Callithrix jacchus: one gene and its partner. The protein of the gene in region 1 purifies or fractionates together with the protein of each later gene. This does not show direct contact. Links are inferred from orthologs where the notes say so. Each region holds a gene or a part of one and is shown in the gene's direction. Other genes may lie near its edges.

Region 1 (7,398 bases):
CTAATAAAGACATACCTGAGACTGGGTAATTTATAAAGGAAAGAGATTTAATTGACTCACAGTTTTATATGACTGGGAGGCCTCAAAATCCTAGTGGAAGATGGAGGAGCAAAGGCACATCTTATGTGGCAGCAGGCAGGAGAGCCTGTGTAGGGGAACTGCCTTGTATAAAACCATCAGATCTTGTGAGACTTATTCACTGTCATGAGAACAGCACAGGAAAAACCCACCCCCATGATTCACTTACATCCCACTGGGTCCTTCCCATTACGTGGGGATTATGGGAGCTACAATTCATGATGAGATTTGGGTGGGGACACAGCCAAACCATATCAACTGCTAAATAGCAATTTGATAAAGGAAGTCTACAAAACACACACACAAAATCATACTTAAAGGTGAAACACTGAATGCTTTCTACCCAAGATAGGAAAACAAGGATATTTACTTTTACCACTTACTGGAAGTCTTGTCGGTACAGTCATGGAAGACAGTGTAGATTATTAGTTTATCGCCTCATACCCCATTTCCATATTCTGTATCATAGCATCCTTTTTTCCCCTAATAATTGTTATATATTCATTAATTTACCTCTGTATTGCCAGTCTTTCTCAGTAAGCTCCTGGAGAGGGGCATATGGCATAGTATCTGTCATAGAATTATAATAAATATTTGGTGTATTAATTGCTGTCATTCATTGAGGGCTTGCTCTGTACTGTGCTCTATCCTAAACACTTTACATGCATTATGTTATTTAATTCTTTAGCAACCCAATAATATGGTTAATTTTCTCACTTTACTGTACCAAATAGTTACATAGGGTTTATTATGTGCTAGGCACTCTCTATACACCTTACTTGTTCTACCCATTTTATAGACTAGGAAACAGGGATTAAGAGTTTAGCAGTTTGCCTAAGTAGTTGAGCCAGTCTTTGAACTTAGGAAGTCTAACTTTAGATCCTGTGCTTTTAAACTATTCTATACTACCTCACTAGAAAACAAAGAAATAGAATGCTTTTCTATTCTCATCTTAATTTAATTTTTAAATTTAAAAAATAGCAAGTTTGGGCCAGGCACAGTGGCTCACGCCTGTAATCTCAGCAATTTGGGAGGCTCAGGCAGTTGCATCACCTGAGGTTAAGAGTTCAAGACCAGGCTGGCCAACATGGAGAAACCTTATCTCTACTAAAAGTACAAAAAAAAAAAAAATTAGCCAGGAGTGGTGGCAGGCGCCTGTAGTCCCAGCTACTCAGGAGGCTGAGGTGGAAGAATCGCTTGAACCCAGGAGGCAGAGGTTGCAGTGAGCCAAGATTGCACCACTGGACTCCAGCCTGGGCAACAGAGGGAGACTCTGTCTCGAAAAAAAAAAAAAAAATAACAAGTTTGAACTAACAAATCTGTGCAGTGCAACAAAATGTAAAATTAAAAGTTATCTTATTTACACTCTCAAATTCTACTCCTCACAAAGTCAACAGCCCTTAATGTCTTGATGTGTACTATTTAGGAGTTTCAAGAAAGGAAAAATTTCTAAATGAGATACTGTTTTTTTCCGAGTAGTATAGCAGACATTTAAAAACGATTACTGGCTAGGCATGGTTGCTCACGCCTGTAATCTCAGCACTTTGAGAGGCCGAGGTGGGTGGATTGCTTGAGGTCAGGAATTTGAGACCAGCCTGGCCAACATGGTGAAACCCCATCTCTACTAAAAATACAAAAATTAGCTGGGTGTGGTGACACGTGCCTGTAATCCCAGCCACTCTGGAGGCTGAGGCAGGAGAATCTCTTGAACCTGGGAGATGGAGATTTCAGGAGCCCAGATCATGCCACTGTTATTTCAGCCTGGGTGACAAAGTGAGACTTTGTCTAAAAAACAAACAACAAAAAAAAACAATTACTAATATATATTATTGGCAAATGTATGGAGATCAAGCACTTAGGTACACTACTGATGGGAATCTAAATTTGTACAGTCTTTCTGGTACATAATTTGACAGCCTATCAGAATTTTGAATGTGTTTATCTTTGATCTATCAGTTGTTTTTCAAGGGTTTTTTTCTAGGAAAAAAATTGGGTAAATACCATAAACTTTGTAAGATATGTGCATAAAGGTAAAGATACATACTGTATAGTTTATAATAGCAAGTTTTAAAATTCAGCATTCAAACAGTCCTTGACTAATCTGGAGGTGTTTGGTGAATTACAGTATGTTACCATTTAGACAGTTAAATAATGGTAGAATTTTTTCTTTGTGAGATAAATCAGAGTAGACTTAAAGTAAAATAAACCTTCTCCTTAAGAAAAGTCAATTCCTTTAAATCAGTTTCCTCATTTAAAATCATTGTAAGGTGATGTATGGAACTTACTAACATAGCTCCTGATAATAAGTAATGGCTATTATTACTACCATCTCCGAATTTTTTAGTTAACATTTTTTGGTAATCAGAAAAAAAAATTTACGTGTGTGCGTGCACACACACAATATGACCTCAGCTAGGTAGCTTATACCATATCAACTATCAAAGGTTTGTTAAAAACCAGTTCTTAGATTCAACAAACATAAATTTAGGTGGTCTGGCTCCCTGTGAACTCTGGCAACTCTCTAAATTTTAAAAATAACCTTAACTCCAAAATGGAAATCCTAACCAAAGTGCCAAACTCTTGAGTGTTTTTTTGAGGCTCGAATTAAATAATGTAAATATGAGTAATTTGAAAAAGTGCTCTACAAACACATTTCGTGTAAGAGCTGGTTTTAAGCATATTGCTTCACTAGATTATCTATTGCCTAACATAATGCCTGGAATCTAATGGGTTATACATTTATTACTTACATATTTTTTAATTGATAAATTTTTTGCTTTTTTCCTGCATATTCAAAGTTTGATTTATTATAATCCTTTGATACATAGATTTTCAGTTTTTTCACTTTTTGTTATTATAGAAAAAATAACTATTAAAATTGGTTTACAGTGTTGCTCTTTCTCTTAATTTAGGAATGGAACATTACTAAACTTTCAATTGAGTATGATTCTGAGCCCTTTGGCAAGGAACGAGATGCAGCTATTAAGAAACTGGCAACTGAAGCTGGAGTAGAAGTCATTGTAAGAATTTCACATACATTATATGACCTAGACAAGTGAGTCTTTTTTTTTCTTTTCTTTTTTTACTATGGGAAAATGCATATAACATAATATTTATTATCATCTTAACCATTTTTAAGTATATAGTTTGGTGGTGTATAACTACATAGAGAAGTTTTTAACTGAGGTTTATGAAGTAGAAATCAGAGTTATGGGAGAATTAAGTGAATATATGTCAAATCCTTAGCATTTTATTTCACTGCTACTGACCCAACAACAGGTATCAGCATTTCCATTTCAAAACTGTTATGGATTAAGACTGTTGCAAAATTTTCCTCGACTACTCTTAACTCAGCCTCCTGTGGTCTTGCCTTTCTGGGCTCTTAGCATTATCAATTTATAGTTATATTATTCATAGTTATAAATTGCTTTGATATTTTGTATGTTTGTTTAATGTTATCTTATTTTCATATATATCTATCTGTCTGGATTTTAAATCCAGATGCAAATTGGATGTAATATAATGTGCATAGCTATAGTCCTCTGAATAATCGCATAATAGGATGTTTCTCAAAGTGTATTTCTTGAAACACCAGTCCTGGCTGATGCTTTGTCCCACTGAAATTCTGTGGTAAAACTTAAATTTAGGGAGTATTATATGCTTGAGTCTTAGAGATCTATAAAATTTCTTAACTTGCTAAAACTTTTAGCATGCCATTGTCCTTTTAAGTACTGAAATCTTATAATTTATGTACCTTTTAAATCATTTTGCTTTTTAGTAATTTATATATTTTATCTAGTAAGACAAATTCTGTAACATGACAAACTAGTTGATTTGATTTGACATTTTAAGTGTATCAAAAAATCATGATTTGATTCAGACAAAGGTCTAACTTGATATTAAGCTAGAATTCATATATCTTTTAGTAATAGCCTTGCTTTCTATCTCACCAATTTGCTTAACTTTAGGGAGCTCATAGAAAGGAGGTGGCAAAACAGGATAAAAGCAGTTGCTTCTAAGTGGGAGATTCAGTGTTATGCATAAAATTAGTGTTTATTGAATTGAATGCAAATATTTACTATATGTAATCTATCATATTAAAATGTAACATATAGAAAGTGTTTTGTCCTAAGATTTTCATTTTGCTGCTATTGTGTAGTTACCAATGTCCTCAGTAGTAGTATTGTTAATACATTACATTATCAGTTTATTCATAGGGTTGCAATGAATTTGTAGCAAAATTCATGTAATGATTTTGTAGCAAAATTACAAATTCATGTAATGATTTTATAGCAAAATTTATTGCAAACCTATGAATAAACTCAAAATACACAAAGCAAAATTTACTTAAACAGGATAGCTTTTATGGTGATTGCTTTCTGTATTACTTTCTGTATCTGTAGTTGACACATAACTATGTATGGTATGAAAAAATACAATAAAATATACTAAGAAAACCTTGATTTGCCATTTATCAGTTATATGACCTTGACTAGATTACTTAACCCTCCTGGTAGGCCTGTTTCCACATCTATAAAATGATGGACCCCAAAACCTAAAATGCAATAAAAATAAAAATAGGCCGGGCGCAATGGCTCAAGCCTGTAATCCCAGCACTTTGGGAGGCCAAGGCGGGTGGATCACGAGGTCAAGAGATCGAGACCATCCCGGTCAACATGGTGAAACCCCGTCTCTGCTAAAAATACAAAACATGAGCTGGGCATGGTGGCGTGTGCCTGTAGTCCCAGCTACTCGGGAGGCTGAGGCAGGAGAATTGCCTGAACCCAGGAGGCAGAGGTTGCGGTGAGCCAAGATCACGCCATTGCACTCCAGCCTGGGTAACAGGAGCAAAACTCTGTCTCAAAAAAAAAGTAAATAAATAAATAAATAAAAATAAAAATAAAAAATATATTTTTTAAAAACGATGGAATTGGATTTCACCTGTGATTTTTTATTAAGGCCAAATGCTAAGCAAATGGCCATAGTGAAAAAGAGTAGTTATTCCAAAATAGTGTTTAAACTTAATCTAAACTACCATTGGCAAAGCTAGTTGTTTTTTTTTTTTTAATTAAGACTTGATTGAGGTAATTAGTGATCAGAAGTAAATGAAAAGGTAAATTTAAATAACTTGAAATTTGGGGGCTTATGTGTTCTAAGTATGTGTCATAGATACATATGCTGACATCTCTAATGAAGGCATGAGTACAATGGTAAATAGAAAGTAATTGTAATTTACTTTTATAGTAATATAGAATCCAAATTAATAAAATTTGCTGAAGGAAATAGGGGAATTGTATTAGTCTGTTTTCAGGCTGCTGATAAAAACATACCTAAGACTGGGCAATTTACAAAAGAAAGAGGTTTAATGGACTTACAGTTCTACATGGCTGGGAAGGCCTGACAATCATGGTGGAAGGCAAGGAGGAGCCAGTCACATCTTACATGGATGGCAGCAGGCAAGGAGGGAGCTGTGCAGTAAAACTCCCCCTTTTAAAACCATCAGATCTTGTGAGACTTACTCACTATAATGAGACCAGCATGGGAAAGACCTGCCCCCATGATTCAGTTACCTCCCATAATATGTAGGAATTGTGGGAGTTACAATTCAAGATGAGACTTTGGTAGGGTCACAGCCAAACCATATCAGGAATGTAGATCCAAAGATACAAAGTAGAAGTTATATAAGATGAACAAGTCTAGAGGTCTAGTGTGCAGAGTGAGGGTTTTAGTTATTAAAATTGTATTTTATTTGGAATTTTTATCAAGTAGATTTTAGCTGATTTTGTCACACACATACAAAAAAGTAACTATATGAGATTTATAAATACGTTAATCTGCTTCACTATAGTAACCATTTTACTGTCTACTTGCATACCATAACGTGTTGTAAAGCTCAAATATACACAATTAAATTTATTTTTTCTAAATGACACCTGCTGATTTACTCTTTCATATAATTGTCAACCTGGTTTAGTTTTTATTGGTGATTGAGAGATTCTTTGAGCTGGGCCATAACGTGTTTTGCATATGTCTGTGTGTTTTAACTTTTTGTTATTGCCTTTAGACTGATTTACTTACTTACTTGGTTTTTTTTCTCATAAGTCCTTAATATTCTTTGTCTTAAAGGTTTTGATACTTGCATAGTGTGTATATATTTGATACCTAGAGTATCTAGAAGCTAAAGGGAATGATTTTTAAACTCATTAATCATTTTGAACACATTTCTTCGTCACTATAACAAGCTAACATTCTCCTTGAAGATTTCAGTGATTAATTTTATTTTCTGCTTTTTAAGCCTTTTGGGAGCTTATTAACCAAAACTTATTGCCCTCTTTTATACTAACCTACATTTTACTAACTGTTGTTATAGGATCATAGAACTCAATGGTGGACAACCGCCTCTAACTTATAAAAGATTCCAGACTCTCATCAGCAAAATGGAACCACTAGAGATACCAGTAGAGACAATTACTTCAGAAGTGATAGAAAAGTGCACAACTCCTCTGTCTGATGACCATGATGAGAAATATGGAGTCCCTTCACTGGAGGAGCTAGGTGAGTATAAACTATAATCAGTGTGAGTCTTAAAAGTTAATAAATCATAAATAACTCAGAAAAATTCCCTTTCAATTTCGCCATGTAAAGTATTTTGCATTAGGAGAGAAAGAAAGGGTGGGGGAAGAAGAAAGAAAGAACTCTTTAAGAAGTGATATGTTTGTTCATCATTTATGTGTTCTATAGATATGTAATCTGTTGTTATCACCTTAAGATGTACATCCTAAAAAATTGAAACCATGTCAAACTATGTCATATCCTCTTTAGGTGAGGGCTTTTTTAGGCCCTCAGTTCCTTTTTATGGTACTCTCTCAATTTTTCTGCAAAGTAATTTATTCTCCCAGTTATTGGGGTTAAATAAAAATTATTTGAGTTTCAGAAGAATGATATTTTTTTCTTTTCTTTCTTTTAGGGTTTGATACAGATGGCTTATCCTCTGCAGTGTGGCCAGGTGGAGAAACTGAAGCACTTACTCGTTTGGAAAGGCATTTGGAAAGAAAAGTATGACAATATAGATTATATAGCTATGCTCATATTTCCAAACTGCCATTTAAAAATAATTTTTCTCTCTTTTAAAAATAACAAATAGACTGTTGAAGGGGGAGCATTAAGGGAAATGGTTAAAATAGAATAAACCTAATTGTTTGAAAATTAACTACCCCTGTAATCCCAGCACTTTGGGAGGCCGAGGTGGGTGGATCACGAGGTCAAGAGATCGAGACCATCCTGGTCAACATGGTGAAACCCTATCTGTACTAGAAATAC
Region 2 (6,623 bases), on another chromosome or scaffold:
CAATACTTTTTATTTGAAAAGTATAACTGAGGTTTCTATTGAAATTTCATATTTACATATTTTCCATATATATTTTTGCATATTTGGACAGTTTCTCTAAGTTGAAATTAGGTACTGTTTTCTAATTTCTTCACTGAACATTTAGTCAATTTTGTTTCCATTTCATATAGTTGTTATAATTGTTTGTAACTGGACCTCTAGGTTAGTATGACTGTTGGTCCCACTAGGTGCCTGTTGCTTCCTTAATATTAATTATCAGCTTGAACTAATGAACATTTAGTTACTTAGTTCCCTTGTTGATAAGCCAACATTTGCATTATAGTTCTAAGGTTGTACACTTGTTTCTGCTTTTTGCTGTGATTTAAAAAAATTTTTTTAAGTCACATATAGCAGTTTGCTTGTATTAATTTCTTCTTCAGGGTACATTCTTAAGAAGTGGATGTCCTAGGACAGAGTCCAAATGTTTTTGTGCTTCTTGTCATGTTGCTTTTTTCCCAAATGAGTTGATCTGAGAAAATTAATCAATGATTAGTGCCACCACTAATCATCAGTTTAGTAGCAGCTTTACTGTCATATAATTCACAATTCTCATTTAAAATGTATAACTTACTTTTAGTGTATTGATAAAGTAGTGCACACATCACCACAATTTTAGAACACTTTTATTATCCTAAAAAGAAATCACATACCTCTTAGCTGTTGCCCCCAAAACCTCCATCCCAACCATCCCTAGGCAACCACTAATCTATTTTGTGTCTCTATAGATTTGCCTATTCTGGACATTTCATATAAATGGAAATCTACCTTTTGACTATTATGAAAAACGTTGCTGTACACATTTATGTACAAGTTTTGTGTGGACATATGGTTTAATTTCTCTTAGGTATATACCTAGTGATCATATAGTAACTGCCTGTTTGAGGAAATGCCAGGCTGTTTTCCAAAGCTGCAGTGTACCACTTTACATATCCACTAGCAGTGTCTTCTAACACTTACTTGTCTTTTTGATTGTAGCCATCCTAGGGGGTGTAAACTCATTGCAGTTTTGAGTTATTTTATTTTATTTTTGAGACGGAGTTTCACTTTGGTGGGTTACCCAGGCTGGAGTGCAATGGCGCGATCTTGGCTCACCGCAACCTCTGCCTCCTGGGTTCAGGCAATTCTCCTGCCTCAGCCTCCTGAGTAGCTGGGATTACAGGCATGTGCCACCATGCCCAGCTAATTTTTTGTATTTTTAGTAGAGACGGGGTTTCACCATGTTGACCAGGATGGTCTTGATCTCTTGACCTCGTGATCCACCCGCCTCGGCCTCCCAAAGTGCTGGGATTACAGGCTTGAGCCACCCTGCCCAGCTGAGTTATATTTTGTTGATGACTAAAGGTGTTGAATATCTTTTTTTTGCTGAGACAGGGTCTCACTCTGTCACCCAGGCTGGAGTGCAGTGGCACAATCTTGGCCCACTGCAACCTCCACCTCCCAGGAGGAGGTTCAGGGGCTTGTCCTGCCTCAGTCTCCTAAGTAGCTGGAATCACAAGCACCTGCCACCACACCTGGCTAATTTTTGTATTTTTAATAGAGATGAGGTTTCACCACATTGGCCAGGCTGGTCTTGAACTCCTTACATCAGGTGATCCAACCGCCTAGGCTTCCCAAAGTGCCAGAGTTACAAGTGTGAGCCACCACGCCCAGCCCCTTTGCCTTTTTTCCAGTTGGGGTTTTTCTCTTAATTTATTGAGTTGTAATAATGCTCTGGTTTTATTTTACCTTTGTCACTGTATTATGTTTTTAAACACTTGGAACTGTATATTAGTTTTCTTTTTGCTGCATAACTGATAGCTATACACAAAGCAGCTTAAACATTTTATTCACTCCACTCTTCTGTACATTATAGCTGTAGGTAGGGCTCAAGTGGCTTCTCTGCTTACAGTCTTAAAAGGCTGAGAGGAATGTGTCAGGAAGGTGGGCTCTTCTTATCTGGAGGTTCTGGAGAAGAACCACTTCCACATTCATTCAAGTTACTGGCTGAATTCAGTTCCCTGTAATTGTAGGACTGACATCCAGTTTCCTTATTGGCTGTCAGCAAGAGGTTGTTTGGGGGTCTCTCTGCTCTTAGAGGCTGCTTCTGTTTTTCTTTTTTGGCTCTGTCTAGCTTAGAGCCAGCAATAACATGTTGAGTCCCCTTTGCATTTTGAATCTCTGACTTCCTCTTCTCCAGTCAACCAGATAAAACTGCTTAAAAAGGGGCTTATGTGATTAGACTAGGACCACCCAGATAATCTTTCATTTATGGTCAACTGTGCTGTATATCACAGTCATGGGCATGATATCTTATGGAATTCACAGATGCTAGGCATTAGGGTATGGAATCTTGAAGGCCATTTTGCGAATTACACCTGCCACAACTGCTTTTGTAGTTATTAAATGATACTCCAAAGTTTCTTTTATTTGCATTGTTGGTTACCATTTCCCATGTGTTTGTTCTTCTTTTATATTTAAGCTTTTTGAGATTGCAAAGAACAGAGGTATGCTTAGGTTACCTTGAGTAATCAAGGGGTATTTCAAAGTATACAAGATAGCCAGGCATGGCGGTGTGTGCCTGTAATCCCAGCTACTCGGGAGGCTGAGGCAGGAGAATCACTTAAACCTGGGAGGTGGCTGTTGCAGTGAGCCAAGATCGCACCATTGTATTTTTGTATTTTATCCTGGGCGGCAGAGTGAGACTCCATCTCCAAACAAAAACAAAGTATATACCTACCTTGTGGAAAACAGAAACTTTGTGATTGCTGAATACTGAGACATTACTCCCTCTTTTGGTGACTCATTCCGGTGATTCAGTGATTCTCTTGTAACTCTATTGCCTATCTTTTCCCACTGTTATAAAGCTCTGGCTTATATGTGGGCCTCTGTCTTGTCACTTCTTAAGCAGTACTTAAGTGCATGGACATAAGAATCACTTAGCCTGTGTTTGTATTGCAGCTTTGCTATTTTTAGCTAGCTGTCTCCACTTCAAGTTAGAAAAATAATACTTTTTCAGATTTTTTAAATTATTTGTGGGATAACCTCTAGTACCTGGCATATTATGCTTGCAACAATAAATAGTAGATGAAAATATGATGTATGCTTTTTTGTTCCTATTCCTGTTTCTAAACATAAGAAAGAAATTGATTAAGTGGGTTACTTTTACCAGATAATATAAGGTGCCTCTTTGGGGCAGAATTATATTGGCCGGGCATGGTGGCTCAGTATGTAATCCCAGCACTTTGGGAGGCCAAGGCAGAGTCAACAGAATTGAGTAATTATTTTTGACATGTTTATTTAGTGTTATCTTGGTATTTTTTCTTAGAAATTTAATATTAGGGTTTGAACTTCAAAAAATGTCCTTTGGCCTCCATTGCAGTGATCATGTAATTATTTAACCTATAAGTTTAGTGTTAGTAATAATTTTTTAAAAATCTGGCACTGTGCATTACTGAAATGCACTAACCTTAGTGATGGTATATTTTTTAAGTGACAGAGTTCATTATTGTCTGAGTCGATAAGTTTTATTTTTTTTTAATAGATGATGGGATTTAGAAAATGTGTGTGACTTCCTAATTCAACTATACAAATAAATTTTAAATTATATAGTTTTGTGGCAAGGGAACTGTGACAAACTTTGTGGAACATGTACTTGATCCAATTTTTGAACAGATAAACTTTTACAAAAACTTGCAAATAATTAGTTTTTTTCCTTTCTTTCTTTCAAGGTATCCTTTGTGTGGCTGATCAGTGCCATGGCTTAAGGGAACTAGCCCTGAACTACCACTTACTAAGTGATGAGTTGTTACTTGCTTTGTCTTCTGAAAAACATGTTCGATTAGAACATTTGCGTATTGATGTAGTCAGTGAGAATCCTGGACAGACACATTTCCATACTATTCAGAAGAGCAGCTGGGATGCTTTCATCAGACATTCACCCAAAGTGAACTTGGTGATGTATTTTTTTTTATATGAAGAAGAATTTGACCCATTCTTTCGCTATGAAATACCTGCCACCCATTTGTACTTTGGGAGATCAGTAAGTAAAGATGTGCTTGGCCGTGTGGGAATGACATGCCCTAGACTAGTTGAACTAGTAGTGTGTGCAAATGGATTACGGCCACTTGATGAAGAGTTAATTCGCATTGCAGAACGTTGCAAAAATTTGTCAGCTATTGGACTAGGGGAATGTGAAGTCTCATGTAGTGCCTTTGTTGAGTTTGTGAAGATGTGTGGTGGCCGCCTATCTCAATTATCTATTATGGAAGAAGTATTAATTCCTGACCAAAAGTATAGTTTGGAGCAGATTCACTGGGAAGTGTCCAAGCATCTTGGTAGGGTGTGGTTTCCTGACATGATGCCCACTTGGTAAAGACTGCATGATGTAGGGCATGATGAATAGCACCTTAATTTCAAGCAAATGTATTATAATAAAAGTTTTATTTGCTGTAGTTCTGATATAATTCTATTTTGTGGCACAGAAATTTGATATCTTCAGTCAGTATATATAAAGATTGTTTATTGGAAGACCCTTGAATGAATTTTGGTCAGAAAACTTTGTTTCCTTAGCCTAATAGCAATCATATCTACGAATATTTTTTTAAAATGTGGTTCAGATGTGAAAGTAATAACCAGTTATACATATTAAACAGTTTACAGTCTAAAGGAAACAAAACCTATGTAATATCCAAGAAGTACTAATAGGTTTTCTGAAATGTTATGTTTTCTATGCATTTTTTAAAAAATGTAAACTTGATACTTTAGGGTCTTCAGTTATACATACACCTGTTATAAGGTGTTTAATATAGCTCAGGAAAGTGAGCATTTTGTGAGAAAAATGGATATATCATTTCTAATGAAAAAGATTGTTACAAAGCTGTTTAAAGAAAAAGATACATATAAGTAATTGAAACACTTAGAAAACTGATAAATGTCACACAGTGGTATTATAGAAGGATAATACAGAGCCAAGACAAATTAAAAGACAATAAATGGACAGAAAGGAGGCTGTGTTTAGCTTTGTATAAACTTTTAGGTTTGCTCTGTAATCTGCTAAACCGTATACATTCTCTTGTGGTATGTTACTATGTATGTGGCACTTGAGGCACTGTATGTAAAGTAAGGAATGCTTTACTAGTTCTCCTTGGTTTTCTTATCTTTGTTTAAACTAGCTTTGAAGTATTAAACAATAATTGAAATGAAAAGCTTACCTATTTTAAAAAGCCAAATTTAAATAAATATAGAACTTTAAAATGTTAATCAGTTGTCTCCAAGAAAGAATATTAGTTTCCAGTAAAGTTTAGTGATGGCTCACTCATTTTTCCATTTTGGAAGTATATAGTTATGTTAAGTAGAATTTTTATAAACCACAAAAGAAGCACCATTGTACAGTCTAGCATAAACAGTAAATATAAAAGAGGATATATTTAAATTCATAATCATTTTTTCAGTAAATATTGCTCAGTGACCTTGAAAATTTTAATAAAAAATGTCTGCAGTTTTGTGATTGTTAATTTGGTTAAACTGATATTTAAGTTAGGTAACATTTTATATTACTTTCATATGAATAAAGGTAATCCATGCATTGTAGAGTCTTAACGTTGAGTTTTTTAGATGATATAAACTTTGATTCTGGGCACTAGTGTTAGTAGATATTACTGCCCTCCTGAGGGAAATCAGAAGTGATTTACCCCCAATGGAATACATTAATTCTTAGTGGCTCTCTTCAGTAGTGTGACTTTTAGAAAGTATCTCAGTAGTTAAGGAAGCTAAGTCTTAGATCTATTTTTAAAATGGATGGCCTTCTTAAGAATAAAGCAAAAGGTGATTTTCTACATAATTTCTGCTTCCCAAAAGTGATAGGCTCTCCTGTAGCAACAGGAGATGTGAGAAGATAAAAGGCTTATCTAGACTCAAAATTTAAAAGCAATTACAGTAATATTTCCCCTTTCTAAATAGTAAAAAGCTGATTGTACAAGAATTATCTGTGCTAGTGAAGTTTTTCTTCTTTGAACAACTTTGGAAAATGGATTTGACAGTACATTATCAGTTCTAACCAAAGCTTGTATTTGGAAATTTACTTTTTGTACAAATTGAATTATATAATGCTTAAAATACTTTAAGTCACTTTATAAGCAAAATGCATAGTACTTAATTTGTTTATACAGTAAAGTATATGTTAAATGCTTTTAGCAATTTCAGAATAAAAAGTTACTAATGCTGTTGTATTTTATACTTTTAAAAAACTACCCAAACATACTTATTTGACTTTAAACTTAAAAATGTATGTTTTTGTTTCACATCCATATTTGATGGGTATTAATAATATTAATGTTTATGACAGTCTCACTTTTTTGAAAATAAAAGGTTAGGCTCATGGAACCTATTCTTGAAATAAACTCTGATGCCTAAAGAAATGGGAAATTTAAAATCTATGAAATAGAATTTTTAAAATTTTTATACAGAAAATGGTTAAATTACAAATAAGAAATAGTTGCTTCTGCATTCAGAAAGAGAACTTATAAAATACATTATTTAGACATAGAATTATCAGTCTTTAAAGTCCTTGAACCCAGCTAGTCTTTTTAGAGATAAATATTTTTATA

Evidence for each region. Proteins that work in one complex are often made in the same cells at the same time.
Region 2: the proteins of CRY1 (region 1) and FBXL3 purify together in Homo sapiens (affinity purification with mass spectrometry; 4 studies listed by BioGRID and IntAct, counting the BioPlex papers as one, with this or other methods). This does not show direct contact. The link is inferred for Callithrix jacchus from reciprocal best matches to the Homo sapiens genes CRY1 and FBXL3.

The regions. Positions count from the first base shown.
Region 1 is NC_133510.1:109,861,014-109,868,411, reverse strand, and holds part of CRY1 (cryptochrome-1), read left to right. Parts: intron 1-2,990; coding exon 2,991-3,133; intron 3,134-6,448; coding exon 6,449-6,633; intron 6,634-7,045; coding exon 7,046-7,134; intron 7,135-7,398.
Region 2 is NC_133502.1:38,295,913-38,302,535, forward strand, and holds the end of FBXL3 (F-box/LRR-repeat protein 3), read left to right. Parts: intron 1-3,746; coding exon 3,747-4,390; 3' UTR 4,391-6,238; downstream 6,239-6,623. UniProt on the Homo sapiens protein: Substrate-recognition component of the SCF(FBXL3) E3 ubiquitin ligase complex involved in circadian rhythm function. Plays a key role in the maintenance of both the speed and the robustness of the circadian clock oscillation.